Pelodiscus sinensis: one gene and its partners. The protein of the gene in region 3 binds, or shares a complex with, the protein of the main gene of each other region. Links are inferred from orthologs where the notes say so. Each region holds a gene or a part of one and is shown on either strand. Other genes may lie near its edges. The genes, in order: RAC2, CYBB and NCF2.

Region 1 (7,154 bases), on a different chromosome or scaffold from region 3:
AGGCATAAGGATTTTACGCAAACGGAGTTTTCAGCTTAAAACGGACCCGTCGACACTGCTTGTTTTTGCACAAAAACTTCTTGCGCAAAAAGCATCGGCAGAGAATATGCAAATGACAGTGCAACCACTGCTAATGAGCGCTTCATTAGCATACCCTCTGCCGGCAAAAGCCAGCAGCGTAGACATAGCCTCATAGTCACCACACACTCCTTCCAGCTGAAATGGCACTTCCGAGCCAGGCTGCCTGCAGTGAGGCTGCTCCTGACAGTCAAAGTTCTCTTCACCCTCCTTCTCTGCACATCTCACAGAGTCATAAGGTTTAAGGTCAGAAAAGCCACCAGATCATCTACTCTGACTTCCTGTATGTCAGGGTATGTCACCACAGCAACTAGACACCTGTGGTTGGCCCATGCCAGGCTCACTGAGTCGGGCTGTTTCATTGCTAGGTAGGCTTCCGGGCTTAGGCTGGAGCCAGACTCTACAATCCTTCAGAGTGGCAGAATCCAGAGCCTGGGCTCCAGCTATCTAAACAGCAATGAAACAGCCCCACAGCAAGCAGGTTTTTCTTTGCTGTGCAGACAAACACTCCGAAGTGACTAGCACCACCACCACCCAGCTTTCAGTGGACCATGGTGGGCAGAACAGGAACACATTCTAATCACGAGAAGAAGACACTAACTAGTGTGTGAGAGACCAGGCCAAAGGCACTACAAAGAAATGCCAGGAGAGCAGGGATTTAAACCTGTGTCCCCCACAGTCAAACTGAGTGCTCCAAGGCATGTTCTCCAGAAATTTCATTGTGGACCCGAGACACCATCTCAATGCATTGACATTTTCTGTCCAAAAAAAAAAAAGTTTCATGGAAAAGTTTCCAACCATATATAGTGGAGAGCCAGGGAACCAACTATGAAGGAAAAAAGAGAGGACCAGGAATCACAGCCAAGACAAACAAGGAAAGCTAAAGGGATGTAGGGCAAGTCATTCAATCTTATCCTGCCTCTGTTTCCCCATCAGTAAAATGGAGATAACAATACTGATCTGGTGGGAGGCAGCACCATGAAGTCCTGCAAGAAGCTGATGAGAAATCAGATCTGGTTATTAGGTAAGGGAGGAAGGCTGGCTTGCTCTCTCCACACAGGATACGTGAGTCACTGCTTAGCATATGCCAATTTCATCGACAAAATCTTTCTAAGACTTTCTACCCAGCCCTAGTGTTTGCCCCTGCAAGGTGGCCTGGAGGGCAAGAGAGAGCAGGCATGAGTCACAGGGTTACAGCCCCCATTGCTGCATTGTGCAGACTCAGGAGGAATTGGAGTGCCTCTTGTGCCTCTCCCGTACATTTCCTCCTTTCTACTTTTGCTACCTTTCTCTTCTCCCTTTCCTCAATCTCTCCCACACTCTCCATCACTGTATGCCTGGCTCCAGCCTCTCAGCAGAAAGGGATGGGAGGTTTATAGGGCCAGTGAGGCTCTCCAGAGGGGAGGGAAAGCAGAGGTGTGGGGGAGGCTCTGAGGTTAGCAGAGTGCCAGTAGTGGAGGAAGTGATGGAATTAGCAGTTCTGAAGGAGAGTTACGGGTGATTGTGCTGGGGACTGATTACGGGGATACAGCCATTGAGCTATGGTGAGTTTATGGGGATAGCAGTTTTGGAGGGGGCTCTGGGCTGGTAGAGCTTTGGGGAAGAATACTGCTGTTGTGTTGGAGGTTAGCAGGGTTAAGGGACAGGAGGTGGGGGCAGTTGTGGGGTTAGTCCCAGGGTGTTTCCTGTGCGAGTTGTTTCAGGTACAGCTCCATAATCCTTAGTTTCTGATCTTTATGGTACTTTCCTGACCCATAGCAATATTTGTTTGGGGTTTTCTTTGTACTGTAGTTCTCTGCCCTTCCTCCACCCTTGCTGCCTGCCCCTGCCTCCGCCTCCGAGGTGGTTTCTAAAATTTAATCACTTGTCTGCAAACTTCCTCCTGTGGCCAGTGGGAAGGAGGAAGTGACTGTGGGGTGCAGGGCCTCTAACAATGTCACTTCATCTGCCCCAGATAACATCATCAAAACAGCTCCCCGCCTGAAACTGGCTTCACTCTGAGCGCCAGACGTGACTCCGGTCTCACAGACACTCTCCTGGGCCCTGGATGCTTGTTTCCCTGCCCAGGGGCAGCAGCCCTCTGGGTACTGCCCTGAGGAAGCTGCTGCTCTTGAAGGCCTTGGCAAGGCCACATACATGCTGCCCAAGCAGTGGATAAATCAGGTGATTATGCTATGCTCAGCTGCCTGGGTTTCATCGCCTCGCACAGCCCAGGCAGACGGAGCACATTGTGCCCCTCAGCGGCAAAAGGGAAAGGAACATCTTGCTGCTGTATCCATGGAAATTCCCCGGAGTGCCCCCTTGGACCCCCCCCCCCCTTAGAGAAGGCATGGGAACTCAGATCCACAGGAGGGGACCCACAGCGCTCTCCATTCACCACTGCCACCATGTGTCGGTGCCCTCCCCAGTCATGTGTGGTGTGGCCCAGTAGAAGGGAAACTAGTCTCCCCCACCTTATTTTAAACCTGGCTCCCCTTCCACCATCAATAGCCGCAGAGGAGGAGACACTGTAAAGGGGGCACCTTCATCTAGGGGAGAATAGCCACATAGGTTGTCTTTCAGCGGCTCTTTTCCACCTGCTCTGAAAAGTGCCCTTCCCCAACCCCGACATAATGCACAACCTCCATCACAGGCTGCCCCCTCCCCTCCCCCCATACACCCTACCTGACAGAAAAAGGGAAAGCCGTTCAGAGGAAATCGAAAGCAAAGAAGGTGACATTTCACTAAGAACCAACCTTCCCCCTTCTTGCCCCCCTCCACCACAAAAGAAGGTACATACCCATCTCCCACCACCACACACTTGATGGCCTGCATTTCTCAGGCCTCACGGAGGAGGATGGCTCCTGGGGCAGGAGAAGTCAGGCAGACTTAATGCTCTCAGGTGACCAGAGGAAAGACCTGTACAAATGTAATGTCAAACCTAGCGTGAAGGAAGCAGCAGATTGTGAGGAGGGAGGAAGTGGAAGATAGATAGAATGTTACTTAACCCTCCACGTCAGTCCCCCCTCCACCCAGTAGTTCAGGCTACAGCTAAAAAAAGGCGGGGCCTGTGCTAGTGTTAAGACTGCCGACTTTTTAATTGCTTGCCCCACCTCTTTCCCTAAAGCCCCGCCCCTCCTCTTCCTGAGACCCCGCCCCTGCTCACTGCTCTTCCGCCTCCCTCTACCACTCACTCTCCACTCCCCACCCCAGTCCCACCTCTTCTGGGACTTACCTGCTGCTCGCAGAGTGAGATTGGGAGAAGCTAAAATGCAGCCTGCCTGGGGCTCAGCAGGGATCATCCCCATAGTGAGGGGCCAGGGCAATGAGGGCACAGCAGGGCAGTGTAAATGTAAGAACAAGGCCTTTTTCTGTAGCCATGTTGTAAGGCCTAAAGCCTACAGCCCTCATCTGCAGCCAGATGGAAAGAGCAGCAGCCATTAACTAAGACGCAGGAAGTCGCATCCTCATTCCGCCCAAATTACATTAAAATAGTGGGATATGAGTGGGGCTTAACGAGAAAGTGCACAGCTGCGCTGCTTAGGGGGAGCTTCGGACCTGATCCTGCTTGGCCAACAGGAAAAGTTGATCTGTCTTACTGTAGGACTGTTAAATAGGATAGTACTGTGTGAGGCTCTTCCATGGATAAAAGACCCTGCGAACCCACAGAGTGTTAGGTTATGCCGGAGCCCATGGAAGGCTGAGGGTGGGTGCCTATAGTGGAAGGTAATTCTTGAGCCATAGAAACAGAGAAGAGTGGGTGTCCCTAGAGTGTGAGGCTGACCACATTTTATGCAAGTAACAGTTGGGGGAGGGAGGGGTGAGCAGACCGGATCCTCCTCTACTTCTTGGAGCCAGATCTGGAAGCCTGCCACTGCTCTCTATCAGGCATCAGCTACTGAGCAGAGAGCAGCGCCTCCATGTGCCTCCGGCTGCAGCTGCTGCTTTTTCCATATCCCCTCTCCCGTGGTGGAGGCCAGTTGCGGACGGCACGCTGCCAGGTTCCCTTCTCAACTATACATCCCAGCTGCAAACCAGACACCTGGCAGCCCTAATGCACCTGCAGTTTAAAAACCAGTTTCATGTCCTGATGACCTAAGCAATTTTTTCTACACCTTCTGTCCCCCTTTGAGCAGCAGGGGGTGCTGTGCTGCTTCCAGTCAGGGGTTACATTAAGGAGGAGAAGGAGGGGACAACACTCACTCATCTTTGCAAAGGGAGGGGTCCCCTTTGCATTCCGGCTTCCCCAGAGCCCCCTTTCTTTCAGGCAGGTGCAGTGAGCACTCCCTAGGCAGGGCAATCTGCTATGAGTGCAGAAGAGGAGTGGGCTCCTGACTGATTTGTTGCAGGGCCTCCCAGCCTTCCTGGTGTCAGGTGTGAGCAATAAACTCAGAGACAGCTGAACAAGGAACTTTCTTAGAATCAGGAAAGCAGCATTATCTCTGCTGCTACTCTGCTTCTCCCTCTGCATGGCTTCTGCCTCTAGAAGACCTTTCCCCGCTCTCCACTCCTGCCCAGATTGGTGCTGTGAAGAAACAACACACAGGCTACATCTATACAGCTTCCCTCTTCTGCAAAAGCTTATGCAAATGAAGCATAGATTAGCATATTGCCCCTCTTCATTTGCATAATTAATTAGGCACTGTTTTTGCACAAAAAGGCACCATGTACACAGCACCTTTTTGCACAAAACCCCCCTCTTGTGCAAGAGCCATTCTTCTTGAAAAAATGAGGAAGAACGGCTCTTGCGCAAAAACCTCTTCTGCAAAAACGGCTCCTAATTAATTATGCAAATGAAGCACAGCAATATGCTAATCTGCGATTCATTTGCATAGGCTTTTGCAGAAGAGGGAAGCTGTGTAGATGTAGCCATATATGTTCAGATATACAAGTAGGGGACCAGCAGGCACAGCCCTTGATGGAGGAAGAAGAGGTGCCCCAGCCTGAAAAGTCCTATTCATCTCCTTTCCCCTACACTAGGGGCTCTCAAACTTCATTGCACTGCAACCTCCTTCTAACAACAAAAATTACTGCACAACCCCCAGAGCAGAGATGAAAGCCTGAGCTTGCCCAAGTCTCACCACTCCACATGGGGAGCCAAAGCCTAAGGGCTTCTGCTTCAGCCGTGGGGCCCAGCCAGTCTAAGCCAGCCTTGTCAGCCCCATTAAAATGTGATCCTGACCCACAGTTTGACAACCCCTCCCTAAAGGAAGATCTATGTGTCCCAGTTACGTTCTTATATTTTGCCTGTCACTGTGGGATTGAAGGGCCTCCTTGGCTGGTTTCATACCATATGGAGTATCAGTCCATCTTAAACAGGTGACATTATTAAACAAGTCAGTTACAACTATAGGACAACCAGGCTTCCGCACAGCTTGAGTCCCAGCTTTGTCTCCTTGGTTTTCAGGGATCACCCCCTGCCTGGAACTTTATGCAATCCACAGAGACATCTAGTGGCAGAACAGCATAAATGCAAGCACACACAGATCATTACAGACTCCTTCCAGCCAATTTGCCTTGCACTCCTGAGCAGATGGCCTCCCTTCCACCCAATCAGCCCGCATTCTTCTTAACCATGGGACCCTCAGCTGGCTGGTAGGGATGTGGTTATATAACAAAAGGGGAAAGCAGCTTAATCTGGGAAACACGCACATGCCATGGATGGCCAGGCTATGAGCCATTCAGAGAAAATATAACAAACCAAATAGAGAAGGAGATAGCAGTTCACTAGCTATATAACAGGGTTGGCCAAACTTACTGACCTCTTAGCTGCATACAAAAATCTTCAGAAGTGTGAGAGCTGGGTGCACCAGCTGGGGCTCAGGGCTAGTAGTGTCTGTGGGACACGCCAGCCAGTGCGTGGGGCTACAGGCCTGCAGGGCTTGCAGTTTCAGCCACAGTCCTGCTGAAGCCCCAGCAGGTGTCTCCTGCAGAGCGGAAGGCCCAAGACCACTTTCCCCATAAGGCAGAAGCCCCTAGCTCCCCACATCCCAGTCTCATAGAATCCTAGGGCTGGAAGAGACCTCAAGAGGTCATCAAGTCCGGCCCCCTACCAAAACCAGGACCGACTCCAACTAAATTACTATGTCTACGTCTACACTGCACAGTTATTTTGGAATAAGCTACTCCAGAATAGTTATTACAAAATAGCTTATTTCAAAATAACATGTCTACACTGCAGGGAAGCCTCAAAATTAGTCCGAGGCAGGCTTCCCTAATATAGACGTGTTCTCTCAATTTAGAGCCCTAGGAGGAATAACTTAGAGTGGCTCTGGTGAGGGGCTATTTCGAAATAACAGAAGTGGAGCATCAGGTATATCTACACACAATTTTTATTTTGGGAGAAGGGTGCAAATAGCATTGCGCATTTGCATACTTTCTCCAGGGTTTTTTCTTTTTTTTGGAAGACGTTCTTCCAGTATTTAACCGCGTCTACATGTGTCTAAATTTCTAAATAAACTCCTATTTCTAAATAAAATCCTATTTCAAAAGATCCCTTATTCCTCCTACAATGAGCTTTACAGGGGTCTTTCAAAATAGGGGTTTATTTTGAAATCTGGACGCATGTAGACATGGGTAAATACCGGAAGAGCATCTTCCGAAAAAAAACCCGGAGGAAGTTTGCAAATACGCAGAGCTATTTGCATCCTTCTCCTGAAATAAAAATTGTGTGTAGACATACCCGATCTTCACATACCTTATTTCAAAATAGGTGTTATTCTTCATAGAATGAGGTTTACAGAAGTTGGAATAATGGAATTGCTGTGTAGACGCTCACATAGTTATTTTGGAATAACAGCTGTTATTCCGAAATAACATTGTTGAGTAGACACACCCAATGGATGCATCTACATTTCAGGGCTTACTGCGAAATAAACTACGCAAATTGAGCTACATTAATTGTGTATCTTATTTCGAAATAGAGAGTGTCTACACATCACTTATTCCGCCATAGAGCACTCTTCCTCCTACTTCCCTTACTCCTCGTACAATAAGGGTTACAGAAGTCGGAGTAAGAAGTCCTGTAGCTTGACAGTATTTTGACACTACTTCGAAATAACCGCCTTCTGTGTAGACATAGGCTAAGTTATTTTGGA
Region 2 (7,256 bases), on a different chromosome or scaffold from region 3:
ATTGGAGGCAACATTAGACCTTCTTAAGTGTGGGTGTTTAGGCCACTCTATCCAAGGTTGTAGGCCTATGGAGGAAATAAGCCATAGTACTGCAGCCGTTCACTGAGCATCCCCTTTAGCTCAGGTGCGGCCATGTGTGGGGCCCCTGAGGCCATGTGTGTGTGTGTGAGCTGATGACCGTTACTAATGGCAGATCTTCAGTCAGATTCCCCTTGTTGGCAGCCAGAGTTGAAGCTGCACCAAAGGGCTGGGGTCACTTTAAACTGTAGGGTGACCCTCTCCCACAATTTCCACAGGTAGTTATAAACTTATTCCGAGTTTCTGTGAAATCCCTGCCAGAGCACACAGCTCAGCAGAGCTCACTGCATTCGCTCATTTCTCTGTGGCTTGCCCCCACCCTAATGATTCAGATGTGGTTTCTGCAACAGGCCCTGCCTTCCCCCATCCCCTTTCAAGCATTGTAATAAAGATTAGGGCCAGCCAAGACTATAAAGGCCTATTTTTGCTCAATGGAGTTCCACTAGTATTAAACGGAATGCATGAGAAGAGAATCAGGCCCCGGATCTCCATTAGAGTCAAAGTGCATAGTAGGAAGGAAAATGCAGAAGAACTCCTAAGGCTGCATTTCAAGTCCTACCAGGGGAACAACACCCAAGCAACATGTAGTAACATAACAATGAACAGTGCTGAGCACAGTTCCAAACAGACCCTCTAAAGAAGCCGTCCCTCAATGCATTTCTAGAACTGCAATCTATTTCAAATAACTCTTTCTTTTTCTTACTCTAGTGAAAATACACTTTTGTTTTAATTCAGATTGTATTCAGCTCTTGTGAGGGAAACATGCCAGAACTCAGCTACTGTGAGCTTCTGCTCACTCGAATCACTGACCATGACAGCTTGACAAATCAATGTATGTATGTGCTATCTGGATGTCCTTACTGCATATTCAAATGTGTCATTACAGGCAATAGTTAACAGTAAATGACAGGCACAAACCATTCCTACAAGTTCACATTTCAGCCACCACAGATGTTACATTTCAAAGTCTACATTTTTTCCTATTGGTATACAGAACATTAGTTTTAACAGCATCTGGCAGCAATTCTGTGACTAGCTCTAGGTACTGTTATTACAGAACTAAAAATCTGTATCTTTTTAATCATTAGTATTTTCTTAAGACAGGCTCTTTAATGTGAAAAAAATGTTCAGCTGAGCTTTTAAATATGAAAGCATCATTTATTTTGCCTCTGGTAAATTAAGGCCTAGATCCTGCAAACACTTGCTCACATTCTTAGTATGTCTACACCGAATTCCTCTTTTGAGAGAAGAATGCAAATGCAGCTGAGCGAAGTTGCAAATAAAGCGTGGATTTGAATTTCCCATGCCCCATTTGCATAATTGCATCCAAGCACTATTTCAAAATACCCTATTTTGAAAAAAGAAATGCTGTCTAGATGCAGTTATTTCGAAAGAAAACCCTTCTTTTGAAATTACCCTTAAACCTCAAGTAAAGGTAATTTCAAAAGAAGGATTTTCTTCAAAATAACTGCGTCTAGACAGCGTTTCTTTTTTCAAAATAAGGTATTTCAAAATAGCGCCAGGACACAATTATGCAAAGGAAGTGCTGGAAATTCAAATCTGCACTTCATTTGCAATTTTGTTTGTCTGCATTTGCATTGCTCTCTCTAAAGAGGAATGCAGTGTAGACATACACTTAATTACAGGCTCCTGAGTAGTGGTTTCAGTGGGACTGCTCAGGTGTATACAATTAAGCATATTCAAAAGTATTTGCACTATGATTTTCCAGACTAGTTTATAGCTATTCATTTAATAAACCTATTACACAACATTAGTATTATTACATTATTTTAAGAAATTTGGAAAACAAATCTAAAAATCAGATTTATGATGTTCTAGCAACTCTTTTGGAGATATACAATCACTATTTCTCATAATTACACCATATATAAAGCCAGATTTTAAAATATCTTTAGATAGAAATCAACTGTTTGAAAGGAAAATACAGGCCTATACTGTAACAGGAATCAGGTTGAATTCATATCCTGGGTGTACTGGTATGTGTATACACACATATGAATACATTCACTATGTACTCTGAACCAATCTTTTGGAACATTTGGCTTTATTGATAAAATCAAACAAAATACAAATTATTAACCCCCTATCAAAGTTTTCATCACCAAACTTGACTTTTCCAGGTTAATCACTTTTTCCCAGACCCTAATTTCCCAACACAAGAGAGGATTTCCAACCACTTTTATATTCTGCTTCGAGCTAATTGAAACCCCTGGCTAGAATGATACAAAATTGTTTTCGCTGCATTTCCATGCAAGAGTCAAGCACAGCAAGTCTAAACAAAGTATCTCCACATGCAGAATCCCAGAATTTGCCAGTCTGATATAAATAGCCTACACTGAGTATTATTTATTGTATAATTCAGTTTCATTAGCATTTATTTCTAGATAGTCTGGTAAGGTATTGCCTTTTTTACATTCTTGGAATTTACATTGAAATGTAATACATCTTAGAGGGGTAGCCCTGTTAGTCTGCAATTTTAAAAACGAGCAGTCCTGTGGCACCTCAGACAAAGTGGGTTTTACCCACAAAAGCACATGATATAACATATTTGTTAGTCTCTAAGGTGCCACAGGACTGCTCGTTGTTACAGAAATGTTATTCTCTCTCTCTCTCTCTCTCTCTCTCTCTCTCTCTCTCATATATGTCATGATCACTATCCCATCCAAACACTTAACATATATAACAAATCAAAGGAGACTTAAAATAGAGAAAGGTATTGTACTTACAATGACAAAAATGGAGAGTCCCTCGTTCACCACCCAGTTGCCCATCGTTGCTGGGGAAGAGTGTGCACTGACTTTGCTCCTTTTCAGACAACTATTGTATCTCCTCACAGAAGGAAGTGAGAGCAGCTGCCTTGTTGCAACCTGTTTCCTCTGTCATTCATCTAGAAATTAGCTAACCATTGACCCATGCAATGGTTTGAATTTGCTATCTCTGAAAACACAACAGTGTAAGAACCCAGCCATAAATAAGGAGAGCTTGGAAATGAACAATTTCTTTTTCTTGTGTATGAGTTACTTTGGGTTATGCAAATGTCATTGGAGGGCGTTTCCATCCAACAACTTGGAGTGACTTTTTATAACTACAGCATTGAAGCCCTTAGTGCAATGAGAAACTAAACATGGTCATACTCCTCCTCAGTTCATTCCCCCGCCCCAGCATTACTCCCTGCCCCTCGCACACCTGCTGATCCAGTCTCCTCCTCCCCATAATATGTTACATTCCTCCAGCTCAGCATCCCACAAACGCCTCCAAAGATGATTTACCCTCCCCTTCCCTGATAGGCTAGCAACTCTAGCCCAAATCCTGGCTGGGATTTAGGCTCCTAACTTCTAGTGTTTTCAATGGAGGTTAGGAACCTAAATATGTCAGAGGAACGGGATGTCTTTTCCTACGGGCTGCTCTGCGCTTGGATCTTCAGTCAGTGCTGTGTGGACATGCCCCTCAGCTAGCCTGAAAGTGTTGCCAATTCTCCTGAGACTTGGGTGCTTTTTTAAAACGTCCAGCTCCTGAAAGCATGTGATTATGAGAGAATCTCATCTTAAGTTTTTGCTAACAAATAAAGTGGGGGTAGGGGAGACTCTAGACTTCATGTTTGCAGAGTGTGGAAATGTGGCCTCGATATATCCTATAGACTCAGGCACCAGACAGCAAATACAGTGAAGGCCTCCCTCCTTCCCCCACCTGTAATGCCTTTTGAAAAGCTCATATTTTTTCAAGACCATCTCATGATTTTTGGAACACTTAGCACGGACGATGATGTGAGTCCCAAATACAGTAAACTTCCGATAATCCGGCACCTTTAGGACCCAGAGGATGCCGGATTATCAGATATGCTGGACTATAGGAAGGGGGGGCTATGAGGAGTCTGGGGTGGGGCTGGGGGGGATAAAGGGGTGGTGCTATGGGACCAACTCAGCACCCCAGCTGCTCTGCCCCGGGCATACCCAAGTCAGCCGCGGCTGAAACTGACCAGCGGTTGACTCGGGGAAGCCCGGGGCAGAGCAGCTCCAATTGTCCGGCTGCCTGGAGCACTTCTGGGTCCAGGTGGTGCTGGACTAGCAGGAGTGTCGGACCACTGGATGCTGAACAACTGGAGTTTTACTGTACTGTCCAAAGCTGGATATAAATACTAGCAAAAAGGTAGATAGGCAGTAATGGGAATCAGAGATCAAGGATCAGGGAATCTCAGATAAGATCAGGACTCCTGCCTGTGATAATTTCCCACTTCCAACAGTGTTCCCCACCACGAGCATTTCTGATGTGATCCACCTCCCATACCTAGGCAAACAGAGAGCTCCCAAGGCTCTGTCAATTGGCTTTGACAGAAATTCACCAACTGATACCAGCTGAGGATCTGGCTGAATGTTTTGAAGATAAACATTTGCAGTAGTTAGGTGCTGATTTTGGGCTGCTCCCCGGTTCCTCTGCACAGCCAGAACCAGTCAAATTTCCCCATCAGAGAAAATCAGGCCTCCACTTTAAAGGGGATTTGCTATTGCCATAGAATGGCCCTAAGGGAGAAAAGAAGGTGTCTGGCCAGACTGCCCTAAGTTCCAGCTGTTCTGGGCTTCCAGCCAAACCACTGGACTCAACTGAAGCCAGGGCATAAGTTACATGGACCAGGAATGATTCCTGGCCTCTCAGGAATCCAAGAATCACCAAGCTTAGCTCAGCCATGGCCCAGAGCTGACTGCAGCACTTGGCAATGTCTGATCCATGGCATTTCCGAGCAGAGTGGACAGCTCAGACATCTCGTTCTGGTTTTGTAATGTCCTGTTAGCACAGGTATATGGACGGAAGAGCAATTTCTCCTTTGCCATGGTATGTTACTGTATAATTAGTGTCAGAATAAAAAGGGTGGTAGTAAGGGCACAGTTGAAAAAAGGCTGAGACCCTCAGACATCAGGGAAGGCAAGTGGAAAGGCCACTTAGATTATTTGACGATTTTCTTCTGTAAATAGAAGCTCCCAGAGAAGAAGAATGTCAAATGCCTCACAGGAAGCGAAACTTAACAACTGAAAATATTATTCTCTTCTATAAGCAAGCGAAACATGCTTCTCTCCAGTGGGTCTGACAACCCGAAACTACCACACTCATGATTACCTCACAGAATATGCGGTAACTGGCCGCCTGAGGTACAATGCCCCCACTGAGCTGGGACAGCTGCTTGGGAACAGACTGGAGCAGTACACTCAGTAAGTCTAAATGAAAGATGGATGTCAGCAACTCTCAGAGGTGATGTGTTCTATGGGAGAAATCTTGGCCCCATTGTAGTGAATGAGAGTTTTACATTGACTTCAATGGGACCCTGATTTCCCCATGGGTGACTAATTCATAATAGGCAACTGAACCCTGAGAAGCCCTTGGTTCCTTCCATGGTACTTCCATGTTCTATTATAGTTACTGAACTTACTCAGTAAGTGTTCATAGAATATAGAATAATGTTCTATTATAGTTAATGAAACTCCCTGCATCATGTGGGTGTAAGCTTTGTGGTCTGCTTGCATTTACCATGCATGACACACAAGACAAGGAAGCATTGTAGGGAGGGTTCCTGGGAGTGAGTTAGATGGGCCGATGGTGCCCTGACACTAGAAATATTCCAGCAAAACTCACTGCCTGCTCCCTCAGCCTCTTGCATCCCCCAGCCTCCCTGTTGCCCCCACACTCCCACCGTGCAAACCCCGGCCCTGCCTGCCACCCCGGGCAACTTAAAATATCCCAGGGGCCCCTGCCATCACCACCAGCAGTGAAGCAGGGGTAGGGTGGCTTCCTCCTGATAGCTCCCTGCGGCTGCTGGTATGTTTATCCCTGTGGCTGGTGTGTGTGTGTTTCTGTGCACTGCTCACACTAGGGGACACCTGGGGTGGGAGCAAGCAGGGGTAGCAGGCAGGCAGCTGTTCCTGGAGACCACCACCCCCTCCAGGAGCCACTGCCGGGGGTGGTAGTGCCTCAGGTTGGTGTGGCACCCCACACTCCCTCCCTCCACATGCCATTATGCACTACACTCCCTCCAAAACCTGCGCCTTCTCCCCACTTCCCTCATGTTCTGCTCCAAAACTCCCTCTCAGAACCTGCATCCAGGCCCCCAGTGCCTCAGGCCAGAGCCAGCATCCACATTCCCTCCCAAAGTCTGCACCACAGATCCCCTTCTGCACTCAAACTCCCTCCCAGAGCCGGCACCTTGCATTCTTCCTGCATGCCAGTGCCCTGATTCCATCTCAGAACCTGAATCCCAGATCTCCACCTGCATCCAAGCCCCACTGAACTCCACCCCTCATCCTTCCTGCACCCAAACTCCCTCCCAGAGCCAGTAGCCCTTTCTGCCTCTAATTCCCTGTTTTGGCCCACAGCCTGCACCTGGCACCCAAACTCACTTCCAGAGCCCTAACCCCTCCCCACCCAAACTCCCTCTCACAGCCTTAAGCAGGAGATTAAATGGGGGAGGGGAGTGAGCTCTGGATATTCTGAGTACCAGCAACATTTCTGCAAACCTGCCACCTCTGAAAGAGAGGGTGAGATTGCAAAACAACAGCATTTCCTGTGTTTTCATGCTTTACAATTTTCTGTTTGCATAAAGGTTTAAAATGGCCAGTTGAATAGGGAAAGATCTATGCACAATAGCTTGCACATCTTTGCAGTGAAAACTTTCCCTTGTACAATGTCCCCTAGATACAGGTCCTTGTGACGGGTTGGATCGCAGAGGTCCCTATGGGTTTGTTATCTGTTGTGCTGATCAAGTCACTGATGCCTGCCTTCCTGCCCTCTGGTGCTCTCCATACCCTGTCCTGCTGGGCCAGAATCTCTGATCTCCTCCACCCAAGGTTCAGAGTTTGGCTCACCCTAGCAGAGCTACACAGATACCAAACTAGCTCAGCCCTGGGAGGGCTCAGCTATAAGACTGTTGGCAGCACCCAGGAATACAGCCCCCCAAAAAGGACTGAAACCCCAAATAAATCCATCCTATTCTGTAGAAGAGTTTTACGCAGAGAAAGCTTATAAGCTTGCCTTCTTTATCAGTGAAAGAGAGATATACAGAGGTTGTTCTCCCCTCCCCCTGCATTTGATAATAGAAAAAAGTGGGTTTATTAAGTATAAAAAGTAGGATTTAAGTGACTGCAAGTGACAGATCAAAGTATGTTACTTAGCCA
Region 3 (7,609 bases):
ATCATGGCATGGACGTCGAATCTCCCCAGCATGCAGCAAAGTAGTTGCCACGTTTGCTTCAGGATGGATAAGCACCTGTCAGGAACAATCTGGTTATGTACGTCTGCCCTGAGGGCAGGGGACTGGACTAGACAGCCTCTCGCATTCCCTTCCAGTCCTACACTGTCATTCATGTTAAAATTCGACACTCTCCAAAAAGGAATGAACAAACACTCGAACTATCTTACCCATTACCAAGATAGCTTCCCCAATTATCACCTCTAATACCATTAACTCACAAACATCCCACTCTCCCCACCTCTAATATCATCAATTCACAGACACTTACCTTCCTTCCTTCTTCCCCCCCCCCCCCCCCGCATCTCCCTCCTGTTCTGAAATGTGATTTGTCCTTTTCATGTGTGTTCATTTTTTTAAATTGTATCCTTTGGTATATATGGTTGTGACTATTTTCTTCCACTATTTGATCTGAGGAAGTGGGTCTGGCCCACGAAAGCTCATCACCTAATAAACCATCTTGTTAGTCTTTAAAGTGCTACATTGTCCTGCATTTTGCTTCTCCTACACTCCTGTGAGTCTACGATCATCCCTAGCAGATAAAACTCATGGCACACAAAGCGCTTAGCGGAAGGTTTCAGTGTCACTGCTCTGCATCCCTCCCCCCTTACCAGTCTGAAAGGTAAAACTACTCAGCTATTGTGTATTGCACTGTGTACACAGAAAACAGCTGCATTCTAGCCCCAGAAGTGGCTGCATTTCAGGAAGGCCACTGTAGCCTACGCTGTCTCACAGGGGTGCTGTGAAGGCTAGGCTACGTCTACACTGGCATGATTTTCTGAAAATGCTTTTAACCGAAAAGTTTTCCGTTAAAAGCATTTTCGGAAAAGCACGTCTAGATTGGCAGGACGCTTTTCCGCAAAAGCACTTTTTGCGGAAAAGCGTCCGTGCCAATCTAGACGCGGTTTTCCGCAAAAAAGCCCCGATCGCCATTTTCGCGATCGGGGCTTTTTTGCAGAAAACAATACTATGCTGTCTACACTGGCCCTTTTGCGCAAAAGTCTTTCGGAAAAAGACTTTTGCCCGAACGGGAGCAACATAGTATTTCCGGAAAAGCACTGATGATTTTACAGGAGATCGTCAGTGCTTTTGCGGAAATTCAAGCGGCCAGTGTAGACAGCTGGCAAGTTTTTCCGCAAAATCGTGTGATTTTGCGGAAAAACTTGCCAGTCTAGACACAGCCCCAGTGTTTGTAGTGGATTTTAGGAAGCAAGATGTTAGCAAATGGAAGTGCCAGGTTTTCTTGAAGTTTACCACCTCATAGAATGAAACAATTACATCAAATCAATTATGTCAAGCAGGTACCACGAGGAAGACACCCGCTCCAGCACTGAAAGTCGAGATGAATACCTACCTGCTGGGGTTGGTCGTTTGCTTAGTTTTTGTTTTAATAGAGGGAAAATGGATGCACTAGGCCAGGCATGGCCAACCCGCAGCTCGCGAGCTGCATGCAGCTCTTCCCCCCCGAAAGTGCTGCTCACGAAGCCGCCCCTGCACCCCTGAAAATGGCCCCCGGCTCCCTGTGCTCTCTGGAGAAGGAAGCCATCGTTCCCTGTGCTCTCTGGATCAGGGGAGCCGTCCAGCATGGCCATTCAAAATGGCATCTTCAAGATGGCGGTGGCCAGTGGGAGCCTTTAAATGCGTTTCTTAAGGGGGCAGTCCTTTTTTTTTCCCCCCAACAACTTGGGGGGAGGGGTGTGGAGGGACTTCTTTTTTTTTTCTTTTCCTCAACTATTTTGCCCTGGCTCTTCGCGCTGTATCCACTGCTATTTTGGCTCTTTGTCCGGAATGGGTTGGCCACCCCTGCATGTACTGTACCTTTCAGATGCTCTCACCTTTCTGTCAGCTGATGTGGCATAAGAAAAGCTGCTGCTCTCATGGATAAAGCTCTGGTCCTTTGGAACGAAAGGTCTTTGTCTCTCGTATTGATTTTATTTCTATTACCGTGGCAGCCAGCAGCGCCAGCTGAGCGCAGGGCCCCAGGCACTAGCAGAGCTAACCACCTACACAAACTGACGGGAGGGGAAGCTGGCAGACAGAAGTGAGGTGAAGCAACTTGACCAGCGTCACAGGGCCCAATAACAAGCTGCTTTGCATGGCGAGCCAGAAGATGGAAGGAACAGTCAGGAGGAAGTAAGCAGCAGCTTCGCTGCCGCTGAGCATTTAAATGTCTATTTTAAACACATTTTAAATGACTCCTGCACAAAAGGCGACCACGGGCCCCACAGAGAAGAGTTTCCACACTCACACGGAGTTTGTTTTCCCACCCCGTTCCTTCGATGCCTCTTCACCCGTGCAAAGGCGCTTTTCCGGAAGCAGGAGATCATAGTCCCCAAGCTGTGCCTGAGTAGATGCTGATGGTGCTGAGCTTGTTACCTAAGAGCCAGAGAGAGAGAGAGAGAGCTTGAGATGCTCTGTATTGTATTTCTGATTACAAATGAGTCACCGTTTCTCAGGAATACAGATTCCCCCGCCACCCACGCAAAAGCAGAAATCAGACAAAAGAATTTCTGACAGGTTTATCCAGGGCTGCATGAGAGTTACTTAGGATGTAGCCACGGTGCTGGAGTTTTAACAACAGTTGCGTTCCCCGATCTCACACTATTTTAGGAAGGAAGGTGAATATAAATATCCCTATTTTAAACATGGGGAAACTCAGGCAGAAAGGGGCAGTCATTTGCCCAAGAATACAGGGCTCCAGTGCCAAGGAAAGTAAGTGGCAGATCTGGGAACAGAGCACAGGTTGCTGGACACCCAGGTTAATATTCTCTGCACTGGTCTGTGCTGCCTCCTGTCAGGTCAATTTAGTGCTCGGAAAAAGGGTCAAATTCACAGCTTTTGAGGACCAAAATCCTCTGCAGGCTGGTTCTTATCTTGTGATGGAAACTGTAGGCCCAAACAGAGCTGGGCCCTGAGCCAGGAAGAATGCAAGGCACAGAAAAGAGAGGAAACGGTTCTTCTCACAGAGAAAGGAGTTGCCGGAGGTTGAACAAAGCCCTCAAAAGATCCAGCCTGTGCTGCTCGTGACAGATAGGGTGGCCAGGTGCACGGTTTTGAACCGGACAGTCTGGTATTTGAGGGTTCTGTCCAGGAAACAAATTGAGAAAATACCGGACGTATAAACTGTCTGGTATTTTCTAATTCGGTACGTTTGATTATTATTAGGCGTATCAGTGTGTAGTTGAGAACTGCCTGGCTGTAGACACGTTCACGCTGCGTGAGTATGTCTACCAGCCAGGCAGTACGAAACTACACGAGGGGGGCGCGGGGCCAGGACGGGAGGGAATCCCCGGGGCCAGACTTGCTCGTACTTCACCGGGACCATGCGCGGGATGGGCAGCGCCCTGGGATCTGCGTGCAACCGGATCAGTCCCGCTCCCTGCTGGCCAATTCTCTCCCCACACTTCCTCCCCGGCCAGCCCCACTCTCCCCACTCCCCTCCCAGCCAGCCCTGCTGGTCCGCCCCTCCTCTGATCTCCCCTGCTTCCCGCCGGCTGGTTCTCCCCCCAATCCTCCTGCACTCCCCTGGCCAGCTCCACTCTCCCTGACCCCCTCCCGGCCAGCCCTACTTCCTCCCCTCTCCGGTCTCCCCCGGCCAGCCCCACTGCCCCCAACCCCGCCAGCCCTGCTTCCCGCTGGCTGGTTCTCCACCTCCTCCCAGCCAGCCTCACTCCCCTCCTGGCCGGTCCCCCTCCCCAATCTGAGATGAAGTGTGTCCGGTATTTTTTTTGGAAGCCACCTGGTAACCCTAGTGACAGAACAAGTGCACTTGAAGCACAGGCCAAAGGAGCGATGGAGTCATGATACTGTGAAAAACCAGCATTAAAGCAGGACAAGAGCAGGAGTTTTAGCATTTTCATTTCTGGGGAGAAGCTGTTGCAGGCTGAGTTCAGCCAAAGTGACAGGCCTGGTCCCACAATTGCTGCAAACACACCTTGGCATTTCAGCCTTGTTTTAAGTCACCTCAGCCTGCTAGATGGGTTGCACTTCCCCTCCCACACCTGGAGGGCAGTGAAGAGGATGCACCCAGCACCAGAGGGCGGCTAGGTGCTGCCCTGGGGAAGCCGTGGGGACATTTCAGGCTGCCTTTCAAGGGGCCCTGGCATTGATGCTCCGATTCCTCCAGGCTGCATTGTCAGTGCGCTGTGACTCAGCCACGACTTCAGGGTCACACTCACTATGACAAGCACAACCCCCCAAGTCACAACCACCCTCTGACAGATGTGCATGACTTCAGCTGAAGATCCCTGCAAAGCAAAGTCGAAAGCAGTGGGGGCGGCCGTGGCGAGGGGGAGAGTGTGTGTGTGTGTGGGGGGGGGGGGGGTAGTTAGAGTGACACACCAAGAATACGTTTAGGAAATAATTCACCCTGGCCAGCATCTGCTCCACTTCCCCATCACAGCAGGGCTGAGTCAGTAACTACCAGTGGGGACACTTCCTGGTTGGTTTGCGACACTGCGGGCTCCGGGGGAAACACAGAAGTACAAGTAAGAGCGGTGCAGAGGGGCAGGGGCAGGGGCAGGCTGTAGAGAGCAAAGCAGGGCTGCAGCAAGGGGAGGCCCGTCCTGACCCCATTGCTGCACCATGGCTCTGGCGGAGACCATCCGACTGTGGAACGAGGGAGTGTGCGCGGCTGACCGGAAGGACTGGGCAGCCGCGCAGGGTGCTTTCACCACAGTGCAGAACCCCCCTTCCAAACTCTGCTTTAACATTGGCTGCATCCACCTGACCCTGGGGAATTTGACTGAGGCAGAGGAGGTAAGAACCCCCCCTCCCTACCCACACACACACACACACACACACACACACTCCTCCTGTCACAGGCCCCTTCCACAGGCTGGTCTGACTGGTGCACCACAAAGCCCAGACGGCAGCTACCGCGCCCCTGACACGCCGAGGGACTGAGGCGGGTGGCTGGCCCCTGGGACGACTTGCAGACAAGCAGGTGCAGCCCCTGGCTTGTGCTGTCGCCTGACGGGCAGCAGGGCCCTCGGCACGACCCCGAGGGGCTGGCGGCAAACTGGCCAGACCGTGTGCAGCGCGGGCGGGGGGGTGCAGGAGAGGGGGCATTCAGTGCCCATTCAGCTACTGCTGGCCTGAGAGTGCATGGGCCTGGTTAGGAAGAGAGGGAGCCGACAATGCCTCCATTTGCCCAGTTCATGCCTTCCGCTCGGCTCAAATTCAGCTGACACATGGGACCCAGCAAGAGCCGGGCAGAAAATGGTTTTCTTGATTCAGAGCAGGGACTTGCTCCCAGCTGTCCAGGCCCCAGCGAGTGCCTTGGGCACCAGGCTATTGGCTGCCCTAGAGCAATGGGGGGTCGGGGAGAGAAATTCCAACGTGGGCCTAGGCGGCCTTTCCAGTTTCCCACTCAGCTCTAGTCTCCACTTGGGGCATCAGAAACACTGGTCAGGGGAAACCCAGCAGGCATGTAACGGAGGGGCAGGCAGGATGTGTGGGGGGGTTCCCCTTGTCTCCCCTCTCTCCATGTTCCCCTTTCTTCTTCACGCTGCCCTCGTGGCTCCCCTCAGCACTGGGAGGGTCTCCCCTCAGCACGTTCCACTGCTCTGCATGGGCACAGGCTCCACCCTGACCTCCCCGTCAGTGTCCAGGTCTCCTCCTGCCTCTCTCGGCCAGTCTGCCTGTGCCAGGTCTGAACCACCTTCTGCTCTCTGCAGGCGTTTTCCAGGAGCATTCACTGCGACAAGCACTTGGCCGTGGCCTATTTCCAGCGGGGGACCGTGTATTACAGGAGAGAAAAGTGAGTGTTTGGCAATCTCCGGTGGGAGGGGGGGGGGGGGTGTCGTGCTGCTTCTAGACAGAGCCATTTCTGGTTCCCGGCTGGCTGAGAGCAGCCATTTGGCAAGGCCGTCCTGTTGTGCTGCCAAAGCTGAGTAACTAGAGCTAGGACTCACCTCCCAAGAGAAGCAGGTTCTCTTAGAGGCGGAGGCCTAGTGGGTGGCGAGTGGGGATGGGAACCTGGGGAATACCCCAGTGCCTTTAAAGACACCCCCAAAAACAAAGACGATGAGCTGGCTAAAGCCTGCAGGGCAGGGCCTGTCTGGCACATTGTACAGCCGCCTAGCGCAGCGACGATGCTGCTCACCCTGGTTGTGGGTTTGGAAAGAGCCTGGATGGAAGGGAGAGGGGGACAGACTTCCAAGCTGGCAAGCAGGCTGGCAAACCGCCATGGACACAGTCACACCAAAAATATCTGACAGCTGAGTCCCTCGAGGCAGAGAACCACTCCAGCTGGCCCCAGGAGTTGGGTAATGGTAAACGGCCATCAGTACTCCACGGGCTGGCGGGGGTCGTCTCCCAGCAACTCAGGCTAGAGCCGGGCTCTGAGGGCGTGAAAGATGGCAGGCAGCCCAGAGCCGTGCCCTGAGAGTTTGCACCTTTCTTTGCTCTACAGCTACAAACTGGCCATTGAGGACTTCAAAGAGGCACTGGCCCAGCTGCGAGGGAACCAGCTGATAGACTACAAGATCCTGGGGCTGCAGTTCCGGCTGTTTGCTTGTGAGGTGAGGGCGTGCAGGGGCTGAGAGTCCCTGAGACAAGCAAGGGCAGCTGGGAAGCGCAGGAGGGGAGGGAATGGGGTTGGAAGCTAACCCAGCATCACTCAGCCAGTGGGTGCCACACACAAGGGGTCACCAGGGGACACAAAGCACAGTGGTAGTGAAAGCAGCAGAATCCCAGGACTCTAGGTACCCATCCCCCATGGGTGGTTGGCAGGTCAAAAAGGGGTTGAGAGAGCCCCTCGCGATAGCCAGTGAGGGCTGGCTGTGGGCACTCAGATCTGGGGAGAGAAGCGGAAGAGCTCTCTGCGGCCTGGTCTTTTCTCTCTCTCAGTCCGGGACGGGTCCCACCACCACCATGAGCCTCCCCCGAGACATCAGCCTCTGTACCCAGATTAGTAGGGGCCTACCAAAATCATGGCTGGGAAACATTCATCATGGGCCATGAAATCTGATCTCCCTCGTGAAATCTGGCTCTGTAGGGGGGACCCCAGAGCTGGGCAGTTGGAGAGCAGCAGCTGCTGATCAATAGCCACAGCCATCCAATCCACAGGACAGTTCGGGATGACCACCCCAGCCCCAAGCTTTGGCCCACAGTGGTTACCCCAACTGTCCTATGGATGGGATGGTCCCCCACATGGACACTAGCCTGAAGGTGGCCTAGGGCGAGCAACAGGGGTCAAGCCCCCCCCCCCCACTCGCGGAAGTGGGGCGATGCAGCCAACAGCCTGCTCTGCTCCATCTCCATCTTGCAGCCATGTGGGTCACTTCACCACGGCGGCAGGAAGCAGAGCCCCCCGCCTGCTCCCCCAGAAGCCCTGTGTCGCTTGAGGGAGCGGGCAGAGGCTGGGGCGCGCTGCTTCCTGCTCCACAGAAGAGCGGAGCAACCTGGCGGGGAGGTGGTGGTGGAGCAGAGCCGGCTGCTGGTTGCGTTGCTCCGTTTCCTTCGGCCCACACTGCTGTGGTGAGCGCTGGAGGCCCGACCCCCGCTGCTGCCCTGCACTAGGCGCCCTGCTTTGCCGTCTCTTGGGGGA

What was found.
Region 1: NCF2 (region 3) and RAC2 share a complex: the UniProt entries of both Homo sapiens proteins name them as parts of the phagocyte NADPH oxidase complex. The link is inferred for Pelodiscus sinensis from reciprocal best matches to the Homo sapiens genes NCF2 and RAC2.
Region 2: NCF2 (region 3) and CYBB share a complex: the UniProt entries of both Homo sapiens proteins name them as parts of the phagocyte NADPH oxidase complex. The link is inferred for Pelodiscus sinensis from reciprocal best matches to the Homo sapiens genes NCF2 and CYBB.

What each region holds. Positions count from the first base shown.
Region 1 is NC_134711.1:92,838,606-92,845,759, reverse strand, and holds the start of RAC2 (ras-related C3 botulinum toxin substrate 2), read right to left. Parts: upstream 3,093-7,154; 5' UTR 2,893-3,092; coding exon 2,858-2,892; intron 1-2,857. UniProt on the Homo sapiens protein: Plasma membrane-associated small GTPase which cycles between an active GTP-bound and inactive GDP-bound state.
Region 2 is NC_134711.1:196,970,228-196,977,483, forward strand, and holds the start of CYBB (NADPH oxidase 2), read right to left. Parts: upstream 3,078-7,256; 5' UTR 2,871-3,077; coding exon 2,826-2,870; intron 1-2,825. UniProt on the Homo sapiens protein: Catalytic subunit of the phagocyte NADPH oxidase complex that mediates the transfer of electrons from cytosolic NADPH to O2 to produce the superoxide anion (O2(-)).
Region 3 is NC_134719.1:57,237,440-57,245,048, forward strand, and holds the start of NCF2 (neutrophil cytosol factor 2), read left to right. Parts: upstream 1-4,511; 5' UTR 4,512-4,641; coding exon 4,642-4,815; intron 4,816-5,735; coding exon 5,736-5,818; intron 5,819-6,472; coding exon 6,473-6,581; intron 6,582-7,609. UniProt on the Homo sapiens protein: Subunit of the phagocyte NADPH oxidase complex that mediates the transfer of electrons from cytosolic NADPH to O2 to produce the superoxide anion (O2(-)).